4 linked regions of the Saccharomyces cerevisiae S288C genome follow. The protein of the gene in region 4 binds, or shares a complex with, the protein of the main gene of each other region. Each region holds a gene or a part of one and is shown on either strand. Other genes may lie near its edges. The genes, in order: DCC1, POL2, RFC5 and CTF18. A codon is read from its position in the direction of its gene.

Region 1 (3,676 bases), on a different chromosome or scaffold from region 4:
TCCACTACATCATACACACCGACTACCCTTCTCTTCAGCCATTTGTATTGCAGTTCTACGGGCCAGCATTTGGCTAATTCTGTAAGGATTTTTCCCGATGGAGTAAATACTCTGGTACTATAAGAATGAAGTGGGGAATCTAATTTTCCAAACGAATCAATGACATCAATGATATTGTTGTAGCATTTTTTTGCCATTTCTTGATTTTTCGGTCTCCATTTTTTCGACTTCCACAATCTCTCTATAATTAACTTTAGCTTCAGTAGTTTTTCCTGAGGTCCCTTAATTATACTCTCGATTTTCATTTCCGTGTAGACCTCTCTTTCTGGAATTACATTGCTGAAATGCCTAATAAACAATTTAATATCTTTGCTGAAGTTCTTTGTGGCCGCCTCGTGTCTTGTATATGCTTTGTAGAAATAAGGAATAGTAATGCTGCATGCCTTCAGTACTTCGAGGGAACCGTAAGGGATTGCTGTCTTTAGCGAGTCTAGAAAAATACAATTGATTCTTGTGACTTCATCTATTGTAGGTGGGAAGAGTCGATTTAATTTGGTTGTGGATAACCCATTAATTTCTTCATTGAGTACTCTGACTCTCAAGGCGATCAGGAATTTTTGCAAAAATTCTACCAAATTGAAAGTAAAATTTGTTTGTAGTTGTAATAACTCGTTGCAAATGGCCTTGACAAGATCATCATCCGATTCTGTGGGTAATTCGTCCTCTGGCGCCTTATAACCATATTCTGTCTGTTCCGGTGAGTATTCTGTGACTGGGTTAAAAAGTTGTTCAAGTTGTTCACCCAGATGGAATACCAACCTATTATTTAGTTCGATGGTGGATTCATTGTTTTCATAAATAACATCTAACAGGGTAGAGCTGACAAATCTATTTTGCAGAAGTCCTGATGTAAAGAAGCGCTTCCCCAGATCTTCTGGAGGAACTGCTGTTATCAACTGGCAACTACTAGCCAAATCTCCAGCATAAGGGGGGTCATAGTCGCAATTTTCCGATTTATTGGACAATATTTGTGATAAGTCTGATGGTGAAAGTAATGGATAGCGCTGTAACAGAATGACAGCAATGCATTTCTTAACATTGCTTTCCTGATCACTTGGACTCAAATTCTCAATGGCCGGATAGTATTGCGAGTTGGAAGATATATCGACGGATTCGAAGCATGATGTTCCTAATTTGTCGAATATTATAGCGTTCAACTTATTGCTGTTGGGGGACTTGTACACGCAGACAAAGAACTTCCCCCATATCAAGTCATCTGACCCGTGATAGAATACTGATTGAGTGAACACATTATCCGTCCAGTCTGAAAGTGATTTATCATCATCAAACAATGAATGACCATTTAGCGGTGTGGTCTCGACAACAGATTTGGATAGTTTGATGTTAAATAAGGTTTCATCGTTCTCTTTGTCTTTCTTTTCAGAGTAAAGAGACGACAGGTCTTTCTCCATTGGTGAGGTGTAAATATACTCTTTTAGCAACCAGATAACAGCCCGAACACGTAATGAGTAGCAGGTAGCAGCAGTAGAATGCGAGTACAGACAAACTAGTGTTGTTTTTACTATCCGCAGTGAGAGAAATCTTCCTCATTGAAGATCAAAGCCTTTGTTTACCATTGTTTTTATTTACCTTTTTAGAATTGTTCGAACAAAACCCTAGGTCTTGGCAACTGGCAATCGCTCAACATGACCTAATTTATAGCTTAGGGTTCTTTTTTGTCAATTCTATGCGTATGACAAAGAGCACCACGATGGTGATCGAAATCTCTAGGAGTAGCATACCACAGCGATATTATTTAGTAGTAGGCGGTTTATTATCTTTGTCCCTTTATACTGTTGTGTTTCTTGCTTATTGCTTCAGTAGGCAGCGTATAGTATAACCAGAAAAAAGTGAAAAATAAACTAAAAAAGCACTATGAGATGAACGGTAAAAATCCACCAGAGATTTGCTCACTAATAATCCTGTACCATGTCCATCAACCTACATTCCGCACCCGAGTATGATCCATCTTATAAGCTGATCCAGTTGACACCAGAGTTACTGGATATAATACAGGATCCGGTTCAAAATCACCAGTTAAGGTTTAAGTCATTGGACAAAGACAAGTCTGAAGTTGTACTGTGTTCGCACGACAAGACTTGGGTGCTGAAGCAGCGCAAACATTCAAACACAGTTCTACTAATGAGAGAATTTGTTCCTGAACAACCTATTACTTTCGACGAAACGCTCTTGTTTGGACTGTCCAAGCCGTACATGGACGTCGTGGGATTCGCCAAGACTGAATCAGAATTTGAGACCAGAGAGACACATGGCGAATTGAACTTGAATTCAGTACCAATATACAACGGAGAACTGGATTTCTCCGACAAAATCATGAAGAGGTCATCTACAAAGGTTATCGGGACCCTGGAAGAACTACTTGAGAACTCACCATGTTCTGCGCTAGAAGGTATATCAAAATGGCATAAGATTGGTGGATCTGTGAAAGACGGTGTGTTGTGTATTCTTTCACAAGACTTCCTTTTCAAAGCACTGCATGTACTACTGATGAGCGCAATGGCAGAATCACTCGATCTACAGCATCTGAATGTTGAGGATACACATCACGCTGTGGGGAAGGACATTGAGGACGAGTTCAATCCATACACAAGAGAAATCATTGAAACAGTGCTGAATAAATTTGCTGTTCAAGAGCAAGAGGCTGAAAACAATACGTGGCGCTTGAGAATACCGTTTATAGCTCAGTGGTACGGGATTCAAGCGCTAAGGAAATATGTTTCTGGAATAAGCATGCCAATTGATGAGTTCCTCATCAAGTGGAAGTCCCTTTTCCCACCTTTCTTCCCATGTGACATTGACATTGACATGCTGCGAGGCTATCATTTCAAGCCTACCGATAAGACTGTCCAGTATATAGCGAAAAGCACACTACCAATGGACCCCAAAGAACGGTTTAAAGTCCTGTTTAGGCTACAGTCACAGTGGGACTTGGAGGATATCAAGCCTCTAATTGAAGAACTAAATTCAAGAGGTATGAAAATAGACAGTTTCATCATGAAGTATGCCCGCCGTAAAAGACTGGGCAAAAAGACCGTGGTCACGAGCAGGTAGCACACAAAACTGCCTTCGATGGGCAATGCGAATATATAGCGGAACCACTAAAGTAATAGTGGATGACGTGAATAGCAACAAATATCTATCATAGTAGCTTTATATATTTATATATATTACAATACTATTATGCACCCTATTACCCGCAATAGTTGATAGTGACCTACCAATTTTAGATACGGTCGCTGACAAATAGTAAGGCCATCGCCCAGGGATATATGATGACTATCTAAGTAACTCACTCAGAGTAAAGACCGACAGAGTTCATTAGTGTGTTATATTTTCTATTTCAGATACATCATTTTCATTAAAATATATCGCATACACGAAGGAACTGCTACAACTGGAAGATGTTGAAATCAACTGCTACAAGATCGATAACAAGATTATCTCAAGTTTACAACGTTCCAGCGGCCACATATAGGGCTTGTTTGGTAAGCAGGAGATTCTATTCCCCTCCTGCAGCAGGCGTGAAGTTAGACGACAACTTCTCTCTGGAAACGCATACCGATATTCAGGCTGCTGCAAAGGCACAGGCTAGTGC
Region 2 (7,862 bases), on a different chromosome or scaffold from region 4:
TGACTCTTTTCATTAGTGGTTTGGAAAAAAGGTGAGAAAATCCGTTCAACGAGTTTTCAACACTATCTTCCTTATCTTGTTTTTTTACATTAACTATTTGGGTAGGTCTTTGCGTCCCTGAATTCAATTTTAGATAGCTCTGCTTTGTCTTTAGCATACTATCCAATATGATCATCATCCAATCCTCAAATTCGGGCTGATATATTGGTGACAGAAACTTCTTTAGTTGCCATTGCGAAACAGCGGTATAATCCTGATTTTCCTTTTCCTCTATTTCAATACATGCTAATCCACTAAAATTAAACTTATCCATCCATATTAGCAGATCCCAATAACGTTTGATATTTAAGTCCAGATAACTAAACATTGGATTTGTTCTAACTGCCTTCATCATATATTGGCTGTAGGCGTAACAGTTTTCAGGTGAGTACTTGTTTGTCTTTATTAGAATTTGATTCCTGTCTGCATATACAATAGTTGAGCCAAGTGCACTAAATTCATTTACTAATTGAAGTAAGGCTTTTTTTGTTAAGTTATGAACGTGATATCTTAGTAATCCGTCGAATAGTTTCGCATTCGGGTTTTGAACCCAACTTGCCAGGGAATTTACCAACAAATCTGCGGTTGAATTTTCTTTTAGGGCCTCATCCCACCACTCCTTTAACATACCTCTTAAAACATTCAAAGCGTCATTAGAAAAGGCGTCGTGCACGAATTCAGATGGCGAGTTAATAACGGCATCTTTGTCATCTATACCCATATTATTGTTAACTAGATCACTGCCTTCAGCATCATTGATTAATGCTGATGTCAAAATTGTGTTCACTGTTAAATTATCAACACCAACATCGAGAACTACATTGTCATACACACCTGAGTTATTAATTTTGGGAAATTCTGAATCATTCATTATCCATGATGTATTTAAATCAAAATCATTTTGAATGCCTCCATGATCTGGAAGTGGAGCTTTCTCATTCCACCAAAGCACGATGTTCTCTTTTTTTAGTTTTCTTGCATAAAGAACATCAATAATATAATCCATACTATCCAGCCTCAAATTACAGATTGGAATGTTACTATACTGGGATAACTTGATCAAGTGAGAAATCCACGAACCACTGGATAAAACGTGGTTAACAAGTTTCTTCAATAATGTCGGTTGCCAGTTCAATTGGGGTAGAAGAACTTCATTCAAGGAAAGCTTAACAATGGGCATCTGGTTTAGAAGCCGGATTGTGCCTAAGAGCTTAGTGATAAACGGAGATTGTAACAAGAGTAAAAACTGCAGACCTCTTTCTTCTTTTAATTTAGTAGTTTCCTGTGATAGTCTTCTGTACAATTTTGAGATATCTGTAAAATATACAAACTCAAAATTGATATCTTCTTTAATATCAACCAAGTAAGAATATGTTTCTATTTTACCTTTCTTTTTTTCAAACATTTGTTTGTATATTTGTCCTAATGATGAGGCATTTATTTCCTGAGCCTGGTTGGATGGTTTCAAAACTAATATAGTAATAGTATCTCCCCATGACTTGAATAATGAAAAAAATTCATACCCAATTGATGTTGGGAAATGTAGTAAATAGCCAATGTCCATTGAAAATCCACTCAGATACCTTTCATTTTCCGCCATTGAAAGATCCTTCATTTCAAAACCCTGCTGTATTCCCTTGCCTAACGCACCCATTGCTTTTGAGCGGAACGTTACCGAAGCTCCCAAATCCATGATCGCTCTTTGATGAGGAGTGATAGTGCCCTCAAATACACCAAGTACATTTTCATCGTTGAAGATACTAGTGCAGTTTTCCTTTTCTTCCAGAAAGACAGATTCCGGTAGAGTAATTTTGAATAGCTGACCGCCTGCTGGATTAGACGTTTTGGGATTATTTGGTAACGATGCAGAAGATTTTTCAATAAGGCAATTCTTAATCTTTTGTAGCGGCATTGTTTGAGATTTGAATTTCATATAAATAGTTTTTGGTATATGGAAGGTGATGTTCTGGACTTTGCCATTAATTGTTACAAATACTTCCAAAACCCCTGGCTCACCGGAATCCTTGTATTGTAAGACCTCCCAAGTGGAGTTCGCATATGATTCAGCTTGCTTCCTAATCATACTTCCTAGTGCACTTCTTTCACGGGAGCTGTTTGTATTACCAAATAATTGGTCTCGACGCTTTCTATCTCTTGCTTGGATTTTCCATTTAATTTTTTGATAATTTAGCCACCCAACATAGTCCTCGTCCATGGAAGGAATCTCCGAGGGCAATACTAGTGGATCTTCTTCATTTGTAAGCTGATTTCTTTTCCTCTTGGATACGGCTTTCTTTTTAGTAGTTCTTGCAATTTTAATTTTGGCGTTATCTTCTTCTACAGTTGGTTCAAACAAATCCTCGATATCTTTTATCTTGCCCATTGTTGGTACATTCTTTGTCTTCGAAAAAAATTTGGTTAGTGAAGTCTGCTTAAACTTATCCTCCTTTGTAGCGATTTTTCTTTTTAGCCAATCTGGATGTTCAACCCTTGGAACAGGATTGGAAACCCCTTGTAATGCTGCTGGAATAGTAATTATCTTTTGTATAGCAGATCCAAGTCTTTCTCTATAATAACCCCAATCGATTATGGTTCTGATATCCAGATCTTCCAAAGATGGATCTAATGTCCATCGCCTCAGAAAAGACCTTTTGATGGGAATGTCCGCTGAAAATATTGCGACTGGAATGGCTCGTTCAGTAACAGGTGCATTGAAAGGTTTTGAACTAATAATATATTTACATTGTAGACCTTTATCTTTTACCATATCTTCACCCAAAAAATCCCCCAATCTCCTTGCCGTCGTAATAGAAGTAGATTTTTGCCCTTCATATTCCTTTAAAGTTTTTGACATACTTCTATTTTCACAAATCAAACTGACCAAGTCTTCATCTTCTAACATAAGACCATGTGAATCAAGAACATCTAACCAACGGTTACATACGCTTGCTACAGCACTGTAACATCCTTCTAATGTATCACCTTCCAAAAAGACCTTGAAAATATCACTTTGAAAATTTTTTATTAGTTGTAATTCACCACGCCTCTTCAATTCAAAACCTTTCAGTTCAGCAAGTGAGCCGTCTTCATTGAAGACAGCATATCTTTTCTTTATACCTTTTCCTTCTTCCTTGGAACTAGGCAAAATCATGGCCTTATATGGTCCGTCAACTTCGAAAAAAATCGTGTTTTCACTGTGCGTCTCATATATATAGTTCAATGGGTCTTTTAATTCTTGGTATTGGTGATTCGTAAACTTTTGGTGAACTCTGTAATTCAGCATGGAACATGGGTAGGAGAGATAAAGCTTTTTACCATTTTCTAATGTAAAAAAGTAAGTTTCAGGGAAAGATTTTGGTAAGATACACCAAATACCATCAGTATCTAATTCTAATGGTCTTCCTACCCTTTCTACTAAAGCTCTCGCCATTTGAATGATCGTGGCACCTGTTAAACACGTAATCCCCGCCATTTCCATGGAATACCAACGAGAGCCTTTCCTCATAACATACCCATAAAACGAATTCAAAATAACTTTGTGAGCTAATTGTAATGAGTCATAAAGCACAATCATCTTTTTGGCCTCGTCTCTCGCATGCTTATCAGATGGGTCAATTTTGGACAGATTTCCCTTCCAAGTCTTGGCTAAACCTTTGAATTCGTAACGCCTATCACGAAAGGATTTCACGGTATCGACGTAGAATGGATTTTCTCTTTGGCAGACAATGGCTTCTCGTTCGACAATTTCTGATACTTTAACCCTATGATAAACTTTCCTTGAATATTCAGTTAAACGTTTTTTTATGTGGATAACTTGGTCTGCGTAACTTAGTTCATCAAATGTCAAAACTTTCTTTTTAGAAAACTTGTTTTTGTTGGGAAAAGTCTCATTTTGTAATGCACGCTTGATCATGTTATACTCATCCATCTTACTGGGAAAGAATTCTCCTCTCCAAGCCCATTTTAACTTTCTTGCACAGGTTTTTCCGGGTCTATTAAAATCGCAACTAGCACAATCGCGCTCTGCTTTGATACTATCTGGTTGTAGTCTATTTGTAGTCATGATGTTTGGGTACATAGAGGCGACATCTACATGATAGATCAAAGGTAGTTCGTTTCTTATATTGTTTTCCTTCAACTCTAATAATTTCTGCGTTATCTGGTTTTTTATTTCCTCAAAATTCGTTACTTTATCTACACTGGACTTATTTTCAACTTCCACACTAAATTTCAAAGCTTCTGGTAATTCTTGTAATAATTCATCAATGGCAGAAGGATCTATCTTGAATTCATTCTTCAAATCACTCCTAAAAACACCAGCTTCTAATGACTCCACATGTCCACCCACGTAAGTCTCGGATTCTAGAAGATGTCCATCATAGAACCTCTCAATGGGATCTGTATGCTTATTTGGTAGAAGAATATTATGTTGATAAGCTTGAACCATCAACAACATTTCACACAAAGTACCGGTACCCTTTCTCAATGTTTCATCCGGGTTCAAAGGAATAATAGTACAAAGGGAAAAGATAAAAGGATGAACATATTTCATGTAAAGGTAATACGTAGCGACTGCATCGGAAACAGAATATTCGGAAAGGTGCTGTGGCTTTTCAAATGCATACGGCGTCATTAATTCGGGATCCAGTTCAATTGGGTTATAACCTAGCTTAGATTGAGTAACAGCTTTTAAACCCTGGGAACCTTGTGGTAAATAAGAATCACGCTTCACCCAACGGAAACAATCCATGTGAGAGCAGTATGAGGACTTGTACTCACCTTCAGCATCTGGAGCGAAACCAATTTCATCGAACATGTCCAAGCCGTGAATCTTACTTCTGTTATGTATAAAAGGCCAATCGAAAAAGTCACCATTGAAGGTGGATATAACAGTGGGTCGTACATCTCTTATATGTTCAAAAAACCTTTGTAGAAGCGCCACTTCATCGTTTTCGTTAAATATGGTGAAAAAACCAGGATACTCCGGTTTCGGTGTATACTCAAAGTCTTCAATATCCTCAGAGATTATCTCCCTATTTGTTATCAAAAAACCTTCCCCATCGATCATATACGAAATCATCATTATTTGATCTACGGCGGAATCCGGGAATTTTAAAGGCGGCTTCGTGGTTTCTATATCAAATGCCATTACCACAGGGTCGGCAAATGCAATTTTCCTAGTATCTTCAATGAATCCCTGTTGAGTTACCTTATACCATTTACCGACTCTAATGTCCTTGTCTATAGATACTCGGACATGATACGGCACATCATATTCCCTGATATCTTCGATCAGATGTTTGGCGTCAACTTTTTCCGAGCCATTTGCAGCAACGTTATATATATTTCTTTGCACATTATTATTGGCATTATCCTGCAAGATTGGCCTCAGGAGTTTCCTGGCCTCGAATAACTGATTGGAATTTACAAATGATAACTTAATAAGTGTCTTCTGCAGCCCTAAAAGGTGATTGTCCATGGTAAGATCTTCCTTTCTAATGATTTGTAAGCTTTTGAGACAAGATTCCAGATATTTTTTCACTAGTTCCTCCACATCATTTACTCTTGATTCATCGTTACACGCAATAAAGAAGTATGGGTCATAGACAACTGTCGACTTGAAGCTCCCACCCTCTTCATCTAAAAAGTAGAAGTCAACTCCGGAAATACCTTGGTTGGTCGTTACACGTTCTCCGTCATTCGAATTGCCGCCGCCATTACTACCACTGGATAAGGTTTCCTGAGAGACCAGCGTTGCGTGCATGTTCGTCAGCCACCCTACGCGGCCTGGAATCTGATCTATATCCTTCGCATCAAACCTGCCATTGTATTGCGGCGGTACGTATCTTTCAAATCCCATCATCGAATCGATGTCATCGATCTTACTAGCATTTAAGAGCTGTTGCGCGCTAAGCGCATAATTATTTGAGAGTGTGTTGTACTTGTTGCCAGCTGAATATCTTGCAGTGGAAGATCCTCCGTTGTTTTTTTTCTTGCCAAACATCATATACTTGTCCCCTGAGAGTGTTATCTTGATAGAATGTGCTCTTTCATCATCATATGCTCTTTTTGATAGGTCCTCTTCCAGTTAAAATGGTAAAAGATGCAAGAAACTTACGCGTTCTGGTTACCCTACCTGAAAATAAACCATTCTGACAATTCAAATGACAATAAACTTGGGCCTTTGACGAACACTGACAGTGTTACTATTACTTTTTCTCAGTGCTAAAACAGCATATCCGAGACTCTGTATCAAGATCCATATTGCACACCAGAGCTGTTGTTTTATACTACAACTCATCTTTTTGACTTTTCGATTGTAAGACCTCGCTACTGAGTATCAATAGCAGAAAACGAAAACCAAAGGCCCATACCAAGATGTCTTATAATCCGTACGCATATGCAACAAGTGAGCAGAATGGCGTTAACGATCGCTTTTCCCACACTCCACAACAGCAACGACCAATGCAAATTCCGAGGAACACGCCCGTGAATGGCCAAGGTAATGCGAATATGAATGCAAACGTAAATGGCAGTGGCGGTGGTTTTCCATTCCAAGATCCTCGTGGTTCGATGGCATTCCAACTAGGGCAGAGCGCATTTTCTAATTTTATTGGTCAGGATAACTTTAACCAGTTTCAAGAAACGGTCAATAAAGCCACTGCAAACGCTGCCGGCTCTCAACAAATTTCAACGTATTTTCAAGTCAGCACCCGTTATGTCATCAATAAATTGAAACTCATCCTAGTTCCTTTTCTTAACGGAACCAAGAACTGGCAACGAATTATGGACTCTGGCAACTTTTTGCCACCAAGGGATGACGTGAACTCCCCAGACATGTACATGCCTATTATGGGACTAGTTACCTATATTCTCATCTGGAATACGCAGCAAGGTCTGAAGGGTTCATTCAACCCCGAAGACTTGTACTACAAACTGTCTTCTACTCTGGCGTTTGTGTGTTTAGATTTGTTGATTTTGAAGCTTGGCTTGTATCTTTTGATCGATTCTAAGATTCCAAGCTTCAGTTTGGTCGAACTGTTGTGCTATGTCGGCTACAAATTTGTTCCATTGATTCTCGCCCAGCTTTTGACCAACGTGACCATGCCATTTAACCTGAATATTTTGATAAAATTTTACTTATTTATTGCCTTTGGCGTATTCCTACTAAGATCCGTCAAGTTCAATTTACTAAGCCGCTCCGGTGCTGAAGACGATGATATACACGTTTCCATCAGCAAATCGACCGTCAAGAAGTGCAATTACTTCCTATTCGTCTATGGCTTCATTTGGCAAAATGTTCTAATGTGGTTAATGGGTTGATCTTGATTGAAGAGATCAAAGAGAGGATTTAATTTCATGCGCATTATTATTATCTACGGTCAATTTGTTAAATACTTATATACTTTTATTCCTACGTCATAAATTTTCTATTTACTTTTCTTATTTTTCCTTTCACTCAATATGGAGTGGAAAGAGAACAATAGAGGGATTAAAATTCGTGGGAAAAATCACGCTTTTTAGATAGATTTAATTTACATCATTGTTTAAAAAAAAAGACCCTGAAAAATCACACAAAGAAAGCACAAGAAGAAGAACAAAAATGGGTCTTTTTTCAAGAAAACGGGACCATACGCCTGCTGTGCCTAAAGAGAAACTTATTCCATGTGATAAGATATTCTTGGACCCTCCTGCCAAGTATGGTAACGCACCTCTACTGGAACCCATCTCCGAAGATCAAAACGAAAAATATAGAGCTGTCTTACGACATTTTCAAGATGATGATCTGAAATTACCAGAAAATCTCAATGACCTTGACAATG
Region 3 (3,515 bases), on a different chromosome or scaffold from region 4:
ACGACTCCACCCTGTCATTGCCATCTTCCGAATTCTCTAAAATTGTTCGTGACTTGTCCCAATTGAGTGATTCTATTAATATCATGATCACCAAAGAAACAATAAAGTTTGTAGCTGACGGTGATATCGGATCAGGTTCAGTCATAATAAAACCATTCGTGGATATGGAACATCCTGAAACAAGCATCAAACTTGAAATGGATCAACCTGTCGACTTGACGTTCGGAGCTAAATATTTATTGGACATCATTAAGGGCTCCTCCCTTTCTGATAGAGTTGGTATCAGGCTCTCCAGCGAAGCTCCTGCTTTATTCCAATTTGATTTGAAGAGTGGGTTCCTACAGTTTTTCTTGGCTCCTAAATTTAATGACGAAGAATAAATGTAAATTATCTATATAGTTGTATACTAAAAATAATAAACAAAAAAAAAACAGTAAAGTTTGTTTTAAATGAAAATAAATAACAAAGAAAATAAAGACTAAGATGCGTTAAATATCAGCTTTTTGTGTGACTTATACAGTATTTATGACATATCTTACATTAATCTAGACAGCACATAACTTTTGCTATGAACCCTTCCAAATGGAATATTGCTTTGTTTCCAAGTGATAATCTTTCGTCAAAAACACTTGAGTATTCAATTATGGACGATTTATTCGTGGTATTCAGGGTTTCCACATCCAACAAAGAAAACGTTAGTTCCTTTAAGATGATATTGGCAGGTATACAATGAGCTAGTAAATCGTATAGGACAGCTCTGCATTCGATTAAAGAATTGACAGATCTCTCTTTAACGATTTTCCTCGTTAATTTATGGATCACTATAATCCAATCTGGTTTTATTATAGGGCTACTGCTTTTCAATGCTAATTCGTTGTTCAGTGCCATAGATTCAAGCATTAATAGGGAGACTCGCAAGTTTCCATTCGATGCCTGAGCAATTCTTTTTAAAATATCCTTTGTTTCTAGTTGTATTCTTTCATTTGTCACCACATCAGACAAGATAGTTGAAATTTCGCTATCGCTTGGTGCAGGACAACGAATCAACAGACAACGGGATTTGATAGGAGCAATTATAGGCGACATCGAATCGCAGACCATTATCAACCTAATGTTTTTGGAGTATTTTTCCATGGTACGTCTTAAAGCAGCTTGAGCATCTTTTGTTAACGAGTTCGCCTCGTTGATAATAACACACTTATATCTATGGGCAAGTCCATCCTTAGAATCTTGAAAGTCCACTTGTTCCATTTGAGCCACTTCTTTCAATAGTTCTTGGATGACAATTCTATCATTGTTACCCATATCACTTGGCGTGATCTCTAAATGGTATGGCGAGCTGACCACATTCAGTTCTAGTTTTCTGTTCGAAGCAGTGACAAATTGTCTGACATCAATTTTCAATCTATAGACTCCAGGTCCAAATATGGACTCCAATAATGCCATACAACGCGTTTTCTTACCTGTACCATTTGGTCCATACAGTAAAAGATGAGGTAAATCACGAGGCTGATCAGATAACGATTTTAGAAAATTTGTCAACTCTTCATTATGTGAAAGAGCATTCAAGGACTTAGGTCTGTATTTATCTACCCACAATGACATGTTTGTGCTGTACTAATCTATAATTTCCATGAACCATCATACAAATGAAAAGTCTATTTTATGTTCCAAGGAATAAAAAATCGCGTTAAAATATTCAAGAGGCGACACCGCAGTGCTTCTAGAAAAGATTCCTCAACACGGTGTACATATGCATAGACTCGATACATAAATTTGACTACAGCATCTTACATAAATTTACAAAACTATTTTATTTCTGACTCCAAGATCCTAAAACAGCACGAAGCATATTATTGCGCATAATTTGTTCTTGTAGGATCTTTTCTTGACATTTTTTTTCACTCTGCGAGAAACTTCTCTTTTTTTTTCCTTCTAGGGACGAAAACAAACAAGGGCACTTTTTTTTATCTTTTTTTTTTCTCTGTTGTTTTCAAAACAAAAAGATTCCACCACTACATCAGTGTGAAAGACTGTAAAAGCTTTCTGATAAATAAGCACTTTCCATATTTTTCAACTGAAAAATAGTTTTCTTTTTGCAGCTATTATTGACTTCATTAAGAAATATCCCTTTTTTCCCCGTTGCAATTATTTCTATAAGGGAAGCTGGAAATAGGGGGCTGGAAAAGATATTTGAACAGTCGCTCCAATAACCGTTCTCACCATCATTAACATTTTTGAAGGTGAATACTGTTTCGGTCGATTTATGGCTAATTTGTCAAATACATTTGAAAAAGATTAAAACAAGCACAAGCGGTTGAGCATACTATGTCGCAGACAATTACATCTCTAGATCCGAATTGTGTTATTGTATTCAATAAAACTTCGAGTGCAAACGAGAAGAGTTTGAATGTCGAATTCAAACGTTTGAATATACATTCTATTATCGAACCTGGCCATGATCTGCAAACAAGCTATGCGTTTATTAGAATCCATCAGGATAATGCGAAACCGCTTTTTTCATTTTTGCAGAATCTGGACTTCATTGAATCCATCATACCATATCATGATACTGAATTGTCCGATGATTTGCATAAACTGATTTCTATCAGCAAATCAAAAATACTGGAGGCTCCAAAACAGTATGAGTTGTACAACCTATCGAATTTGACCAATAATCCCAAACAATCCTTATATTTTGCATTCTTACAGAACTATATAAAATGGTTGATTCCCTTCTCCTTTTTTGGATTATCAATTAGATTTTTATCTAATTTTACGTATGAATTCAATTCCACATACTCGCTGTTCGCCATCCTATGGACATTGTCATTTACAGCCTTTTGGCTTTATAAATATGAACCATTTTGGTCTGATAGACTGAGTAAATACTCATCATTTTCTACCATTGAGTTTCTTCAAGATAAACAGAAAGCCCAAAAAAAAGCTAGTTCGGTTATCATGTTGAAGAAATGTTGTTTTATTCCTGTGGCTTTGTTGTTTGGCGCAATATTACTATCATTCCAGCTATATTGTTTTGCGTTGGAAATTTTCATCAAGCAAATTTATAACGGCCCAATGATTTCCATCTTGTCTTTTTTGCCTACTATACTTATTTGCACGTTTACTCCGGTTTTAACTGTGATTTACAACAAATATTTCGTAGAACCAATGACAAAGTGGGAAAATCATAGCAGTGTTGTGAATGCAAAGAAATCTAAAGAAGCTAAGAACTTTGTTATTATTTTTCTATCCAGTTACGTTCCCCTATTAATTACACTATTTCTTTATCTGCCAATGGGGCATTTGTTGACCGCAGAAATAAGAACTAAGGTTTTCAATGCCTTTTCAATATTGGCCCGTTTACCTACCCATGATTCAGATTTTATTATTGATACAAAGCGCTATGAAGATCAATTTTTCTACTTTATTGTTATCAACCAACTGATTCAATTTAGCATGGAAAACTTTGTTCCAAGCCTTGTTAGCATTGCTCAGCAGAAAATTAATGGACC
Region 4 (4,364 bases):
TATTAGGTCTTTTAGTTGACTCTTCTCTACCAAAATCAAATTATCTGTCCTCCTCGTAAACTTATGAATTTCATCTTTAGATCGTTTTACTTCTAGGATCGCCCTATCTGTTTTGGTTATATGCACTTTACTACTTTTTTGGCCCATTCGATATATACAAAAGCACCAAGTGGAGTTAATTCAGCAGTCTGTACTATTTTTCCAAACTATCTATGTTTTGTTCTTTTCTATGCGCTATATTGTATCCCACAGATAGTAATTCGATTTTCGGTCTTTCTGCTCTTCGGGGTTCCATTTATGTAGAAATAAGAACGATAGCGAAGAGGGTAAAAGATCACGAATAAAAAACGAACGCTGCGTGACAAAATCGGAGCTGTTGCGACTACCGGCAGGATTGATTGCTAATGTTCTTTATTTACTTCTTTTAGATTTCTATGTAAGCTGCTGGTCCATATACAAGTATGCTTCTTAAGAGAGACTGCGTATATATCTTACGTCATTTATTCCCACAGGTTATTCCAAGTCACATTTTTCCTGACAGCGTTAGAGAACCCCTCATTGTATTTCACCCATATTTTAACCGTTTGATTGCAGTCATCTGCTTGGTTGGTTTCGTCTGATCCAATAGTTTTTTGTGTCTCTTCCAATTCCTGAGTTTGCTTCAATAATCCGTACTGATTCTTGAAAAAGTCGATTGTACTTGAGGAAGAATTTAACCCAGTTTTGACTTTTTTGCTATGCATTTCCTGTGACTGTAGTCTATCCTCAGTCACTTGGTCTATATGCCTTTTCTTGGCCCGGTTTTCCTCAATCTTTGCTAACAGTGAACTCAAATTATTAGCCCGTTTATGTTGGACTTCGTTAATATGTTTAGGATTTAACAATACGACTTCATCGATTGGGGGATCGATTGTTAGGCCACCCCTTACATCAAATCCTTCTGACCGATTTTGGATTAGATTCAGTTGAAAGCTTTTCAGCAATTGAACTAATTCCTCCATGATGGCTTGTTTGAGTTTCAGGTTCCTTATTTTATTAAAATCGGAAGAGATCATCGAATCTAGATATGGTAGTATTTCAAAGATTAACGATTTTCTATCCGTAAAACTTGCCATTAGTGGGGACTGAACCGAGATATGTCTCATAATCAGACTAACTATATCTGAATTGGCTCGTTTTAATTCACGTTGTTCGTATTCACTATTCTTCATTCTAATATCATCTTTGTTTGCGATATCGCCAAACGTTTGGAAGAAGACTAGGGGCACAAGGGCGGAGTAACGTAACAATTCGCCATTATGCGCATACATTGATTGGTACATTAAATCATGGAAAAATAGCCAATCTGAAATGTTTGCTGGCTTTCTTATACCATTGTCGGAATATTTTACGTAGGGAAATATATTAAAACAGCCTTGCAATATCCTGTCAGAGTTACCATTAAGCTCTACTTGGTTTAGCAATTCATAAAACTGCTCCTTTATATCACGATGTGGATCCTTTCTAAACAATTGGTTCACGATTTTAAACCATGATATGGGGGAGTCCTTGTTGGATGACGCCCACGTATTTTTTGCACAAGCAGGTTTATCTGATGCAGAGGAATCTCTTGAATCAACATTCGAGGCCAAGAATTGTAAATTGTTTATACAATTCCTTACGTCACCTTGAGCCAAATCAATTAAGTCATTGATTGCTTTTATAGGAATATTCATGTTTTCTTTATGGCAGATAAGGTTCAATCGCTCTAGTAGGGTAGTATCGGAAGGTCTTTTCACAGCAATAATTTCACAGAATGGTTTCAGCTTTTCCAAAGAAGGAGCATATAGATTATTGCAAATACAAATAATAGGTCGCGTAAGCAATTTAGACCTTTTCTTTTTGCGCTTTTTGTCCTTTTTATCTGGTTGACCGTATAATAGTTTATTAGTGGCTTTAATATCGCTTTGCATAATGTCAACTAAAATTCTAATAAATCCACTCTCAATACTTCCATCAATCTCATCCGCCACTAAGCACACAGGATTTGTATCGAAAGTATGATTGAATAAAAGATTATATATTTTCTCTTTTACCATAGGTCCAGCCCTTTCATCACTTGCATTGATTTCTGAGACAGAAAACCCTGATTGTTTGGCAATAACGTGAGCTACTGAGGTTTTGCCTATTCCTGGTGGCCCGTGCAGTAGTAAAATTTTCTTTGGTGGCCTTTTCAATGGATCGAGTTCCATATCACTGACCTCTTTTTCGGTTGGCAATTTGGGTAATTGCTCTTTAAACACAGCCGGCGTCCATTGTCTCAACCAACCTAACATTCTCCTGTTTGTCTTTTCATTACCAACCAAATCTAGAAATTTTTTAGGACGCCATTTCTCTACCCAGAGTGTGTCGCTACCTATCTTGCCAGTTATAGGTGAAGTCTTTTGTGCGTTAGTGCGGTCATCGCCAGATGCCTCAATTTTGTCTAACAAATAGTTTATATTGATGCCGTACGTGTCGTCTGATCTCCAAACAGTATCTGGGTTAGTGTATAGACTAATATTCCCGGTTGCTAACTTCGCAGGCTTCTTCTTTAATTGAACCGTTTCGCCAGTACTTGATACAAACGCGTGAATATCTTCCTCATTAATACCAATTGCATTATTACCAGGGGCTTGTTCTATATCACCAGTATCAAAAAGGGAACTTCTCCCTAGTGAACCAATGTATGGTGCGGTATCAACCATGATCCCTGACCTTACATCCACCTTTTGGGTCAAATAGTGTACACATTAGGAATAAAATATATGAAATCATGTTTATTTACGTGTTAGATGTTCCGTACAACGCGACTGGCTAGTTCGTTTTTTCCACATTTTTTTTTTCAACGTTGATCAACAATAAAATGGTACATCTTCCTTTGTTTGTGTCTTAAGTGTCCTTTCCTGGTATATCGCTTGACCAGCGCCTGTAGCATCAAACCAAACCTTCATCGCCCTAAAACACAATGGTTACAGTATGTTGTTGCTTTTATTTACTTTTTCTTTTTTTGACATTCATTGTGACAATATTCACATTCTTCAGATAGTTCTGTCTATATGAAGCAAAAATGATATATCAATAAGTTTACTAACAAACACAAGTGGTATTACTATGACTTCACTTTAAATAGCAACAAGAAAAGGAATTTTTAGAATCCTACCCTCAAAACTGTCCTCCAGATGCCTTGCCTGGTACTCCAGGAAATTTAGACAGCGCTCAAGAGAAGGCATTGGCAGAACTAAGAAAACTTTTGGAAGACGCTGGTTTCATTGAACGTTTAGACGATTCAACTTTACTACGTTTTTTGAGAGCCAGAAAATTTGATGTTCAATTGGCTAAAGAAATGTTTGAAAACTGCGAAAAATGGAGGAAGGATTATGGTACCGACACTATCTTGCAAGATTTTCATTATGATGAAAAACCATTGATTGCCAAATTCTACCCACAATATTATCATAAAACCGATAAAGATGGCCGCCCAGTATATTTTGAAGAATTAGGTGCTGTTAACTTACATGAAATGAACAAGGTTACCTCTGAAGAGAGGATGTTGAAAAACTTGGTTTGGGAATACGAATCTGTCGTTCAATACAGATTACCTGCCTGTTCAAGAGCTGCTGGTCACCTAGTGGAAACTTCATGTACAATTATGGATTTGAAAGGTATCTCCATATCTAGTGCATACAGTGTTATGTCATATGTTAGGGAAGCCTCCTACATAAGTCAAAACTATTACCCCGAACGTATGGGTAAATTTTACATCATCAACGCGCCATTCGGTTTCTCTACCGCATTTAGGCTATTTAAACCTTTCTTGGATCCAGTCACTGTTTCAAAGATTTTTATCTTGGGTTCTTCTTACCAGAAGGAATTATTAAAGCAAATTCCAGCTGAAAACTTACCAGTCAAATTTGGCGGTAAGTCTGAAGTTGATGAATCCAAGGGTGGGTTATACCTATCCGATATCGGTCCATGGAGGGATCCAAAGTATATTGGACCGGAAGGTGAAGCTCCGGAAGCCTTTTCGATGAAATGATATTATTTTTAAAGACATTTTTTTTTCGAGAGAGAAAAGAGGAGTTCTAAGTAACGATATTTTACAACTGAGATAAGTACAAGTATGCTTATTTACTCTATTCTACTTTTTTGAATAGGCATAGTTCACACTTTTATCTCCTTAGTTTGTACTACTCTTTTTTTATTTTTTTTTTTTCTTCCACTCAGCTATTAGATTATTTATTATTTTATTATCTGTGGTATCATTTTCTACAGCCATACCTTGATTTTAGTTTATTTTGTTGGCAGTTATATACATTTATCTTATAGAATACATATGCACGTAT

Evidence for each region.
Region 1: the proteins of CTF18 (region 4) and DCC1 are in contact, whole or in part, in a crystal structure (PDB 5MSM), measured with the Saccharomyces cerevisiae proteins. Residues at the interface, in NP_013795.1 of Saccharomyces cerevisiae: Asn723 (codon at 560), Gly725 (codon at 554), Phe726 (codon at 551), Ser727 (codon at 548), Asn728 (codon at 545), Ala729 (codon at 542), Val730 (codon at 539), Arg731 (codon at 536), Lys732 (codon at 533), Asn733 (codon at 530), Val734 (codon at 527), Thr735 (codon at 524), Trp736 (codon at 521), Asn737 (codon at 518), Asn738 (codon at 515), Leu739 (codon at 512); in NP_009913.2 of Saccharomyces cerevisiae: Lys16 (codon at 2,035), Phe39 (codon at 2,104), Lys40 (codon at 2,107), Ser41 (codon at 2,110), Asp43 (codon at 2,116), Lys44 (codon at 2,119), Asp45 (codon at 2,122), Lys46 (codon at 2,125), Ser47 (codon at 2,128), Glu48 (codon at 2,131), Val49 (codon at 2,134), Leu60 (codon at 2,167), Lys61 (codon at 2,170), Gln62 (codon at 2,173), Arg63 (codon at 2,176), Lys64 (codon at 2,179), His65 (codon at 2,182), Ser66 (codon at 2,185), Asn67 (codon at 2,188), Phe108 (codon at 2,311), Glu109 (codon at 2,314), Arg111 (codon at 2,320).
Region 2: the proteins of CTF18 (region 4) and POL2 are in contact, whole or in part, in a cryo-EM structure (PDB 6S2F), measured with the Saccharomyces cerevisiae proteins. Residues at the interface, in NP_013795.1 of Saccharomyces cerevisiae: Lys717 (codon at 578), Trp719 (codon at 572), Val720 (codon at 569), Lys721 (codon at 566), Gly725 (codon at 554), Phe726 (codon at 551), Ser727 (codon at 548), Asn728 (codon at 545), Ala729 (codon at 542), Val730 (codon at 539), Arg731 (codon at 536), Lys732 (codon at 533), Asn733 (codon at 530); in NP_014137.1 of Saccharomyces cerevisiae: Glu333 (codon at 5,050), Asp334 (codon at 5,047), Phe335 (codon at 5,044), Glu336 (codon at 5,041), Tyr337 (codon at 5,038), Thr338 (codon at 5,035), Asn450 (codon at 4,699), Ile452 (codon at 4,693), Gln468 (codon at 4,645), Glu472 (codon at 4,633), Val475 (codon at 4,624), Glu1038 (codon at 2,935), Asp1039 (codon at 2,932), Glu1040 (codon at 2,929).
Region 3: the proteins of CTF18 (region 4) and RFC5 are in contact, whole or in part, in a cryo-EM structure (PDB 8TW7), measured with the Saccharomyces cerevisiae proteins. Residues at the interface, in NP_013795.1 of Saccharomyces cerevisiae: Asp433 (codon at 1,430), Leu436 (codon at 1,421), Phe440 (codon at 1,409), Pro444 (codon at 1,397), Tyr445 (codon at 1,394), Tyr448 (codon at 1,385), Asp450 (codon at 1,379), Gly452 (codon at 1,373), Ile453 (codon at 1,370), Arg454 (codon at 1,367), Pro456 (codon at 1,361), Ala457 (codon at 1,358), Ser460 (codon at 1,349), Asp461 (codon at 1,346), Leu463 (codon at 1,340), Phe464 (codon at 1,337), Asp467 (codon at 1,328), Gln471 (codon at 1,316), Ser509 (codon at 1,202), Glu510 (codon at 1,199), Gln513 (codon at 1,190), Leu516 (codon at 1,181), Asn520 (codon at 1,169), Ser521 (codon at 1,166), Val524 (codon at 1,157), Ser532 (codon at 1,133), Val533 (codon at 1,130), Pro536 (codon at 1,121), Leu537 (codon at 1,118), Met538 (codon at 1,115); in NP_009644.3 of Saccharomyces cerevisiae: Trp4 (codon at 1,596), Asp6 (codon at 1,590), Lys7 (codon at 1,587), Arg9 (codon at 1,581), Lys11 (codon at 1,575), Lys50 (codon at 1,458), Met54 (codon at 1,446), Tyr66 (codon at 1,410), Leu68 (codon at 1,404), Ile70 (codon at 1,398), Glu95 (codon at 1,323), Asn141 (codon at 1,185), Glu209 (codon at 981), Leu235 (codon at 903), Met236 (codon at 900), Glu238 (codon at 894), Ser239 (codon at 891), Leu242 (codon at 882), Glu245 (codon at 873), Leu246 (codon at 870), Ile255 (codon at 843), Lys256 (codon at 840), Pro257 (codon at 837), Asp258 (codon at 834), Trp259 (codon at 831), Val262 (codon at 822), Val276 (codon at 780), Leu279 (codon at 771), Ile280 (codon at 768), Tyr287 (codon at 747).

What each region holds. Positions count from the first base shown.
Region 1 is NC_001135.5:94,077-97,752, reverse strand, and holds DCC1 (Dcc1p), read left to right. Parts: upstream 1-1,989; coding exon 1,990-3,132; downstream 3,133-3,676. Other genes in the region: BUD3 (Bud3p), read right to left, coding at 1-1,472; NFS1 (cysteine desulfurase), read left to right, coding at 3,483-3,676. UniProt on the Saccharomyces cerevisiae protein: Component of the RFC-like complex CTF18-RFC which is required for efficient establishment of chromosome cohesion during S-phase and may load or unload POL30/PCNA.
Region 2 is NC_001146.8:146,396-154,257, reverse strand, and holds the start of POL2 (DNA polymerase epsilon catalytic subunit), read right to left. Parts: upstream 6,047-7,862; coding exon 1-6,046. Other genes in the region: protein transporter YIF1, read left to right, coding at 6,418-7,362; PDR17 (phosphatidylinositol transporter), read left to right, coding at 7,643-7,862. UniProt on the Saccharomyces cerevisiae protein: Catalytic component of the DNA polymerase epsilon complex which participates in chromosomal DNA replication.
Region 3 is NC_001134.8:421,855-425,369, reverse strand, and holds RFC5 (replication factor C subunit 5), read right to left. Parts: upstream 1,606-3,515; coding exon 541-1,605; downstream 1-540. Other genes in the region: POL30 (proliferating cell nuclear antigen), read left to right, coding at 1-380; IST2 (Ist2p), read left to right, coding at 2,329-3,515. UniProt on the Saccharomyces cerevisiae protein: Component of ATP-dependent clamp loader (RFC and RFC-like) complexes for DNA clamps, such as the POL30/PCNA homotrimer and the checkpoint clamp DDC1:MEC3:RAD17 complex.
Region 4 is NC_001145.3:422,003-426,366, forward strand, and holds CTF18 (Ctf18p), read right to left. Parts: upstream 2,727-4,364; coding exon 501-2,726; downstream 1-500. Other genes in the region: ESCRT-III subunit protein VPS20, read right to left, coding at 1-147; phosphatidylinositol/phosphatidylcholine transfer protein SEC14, read left to right, coding at 2,987-2,995, 3,152-4,057. UniProt on the Saccharomyces cerevisiae protein: Essential for the fidelity of chromosome transmission. Required for the DNA replication block checkpoint.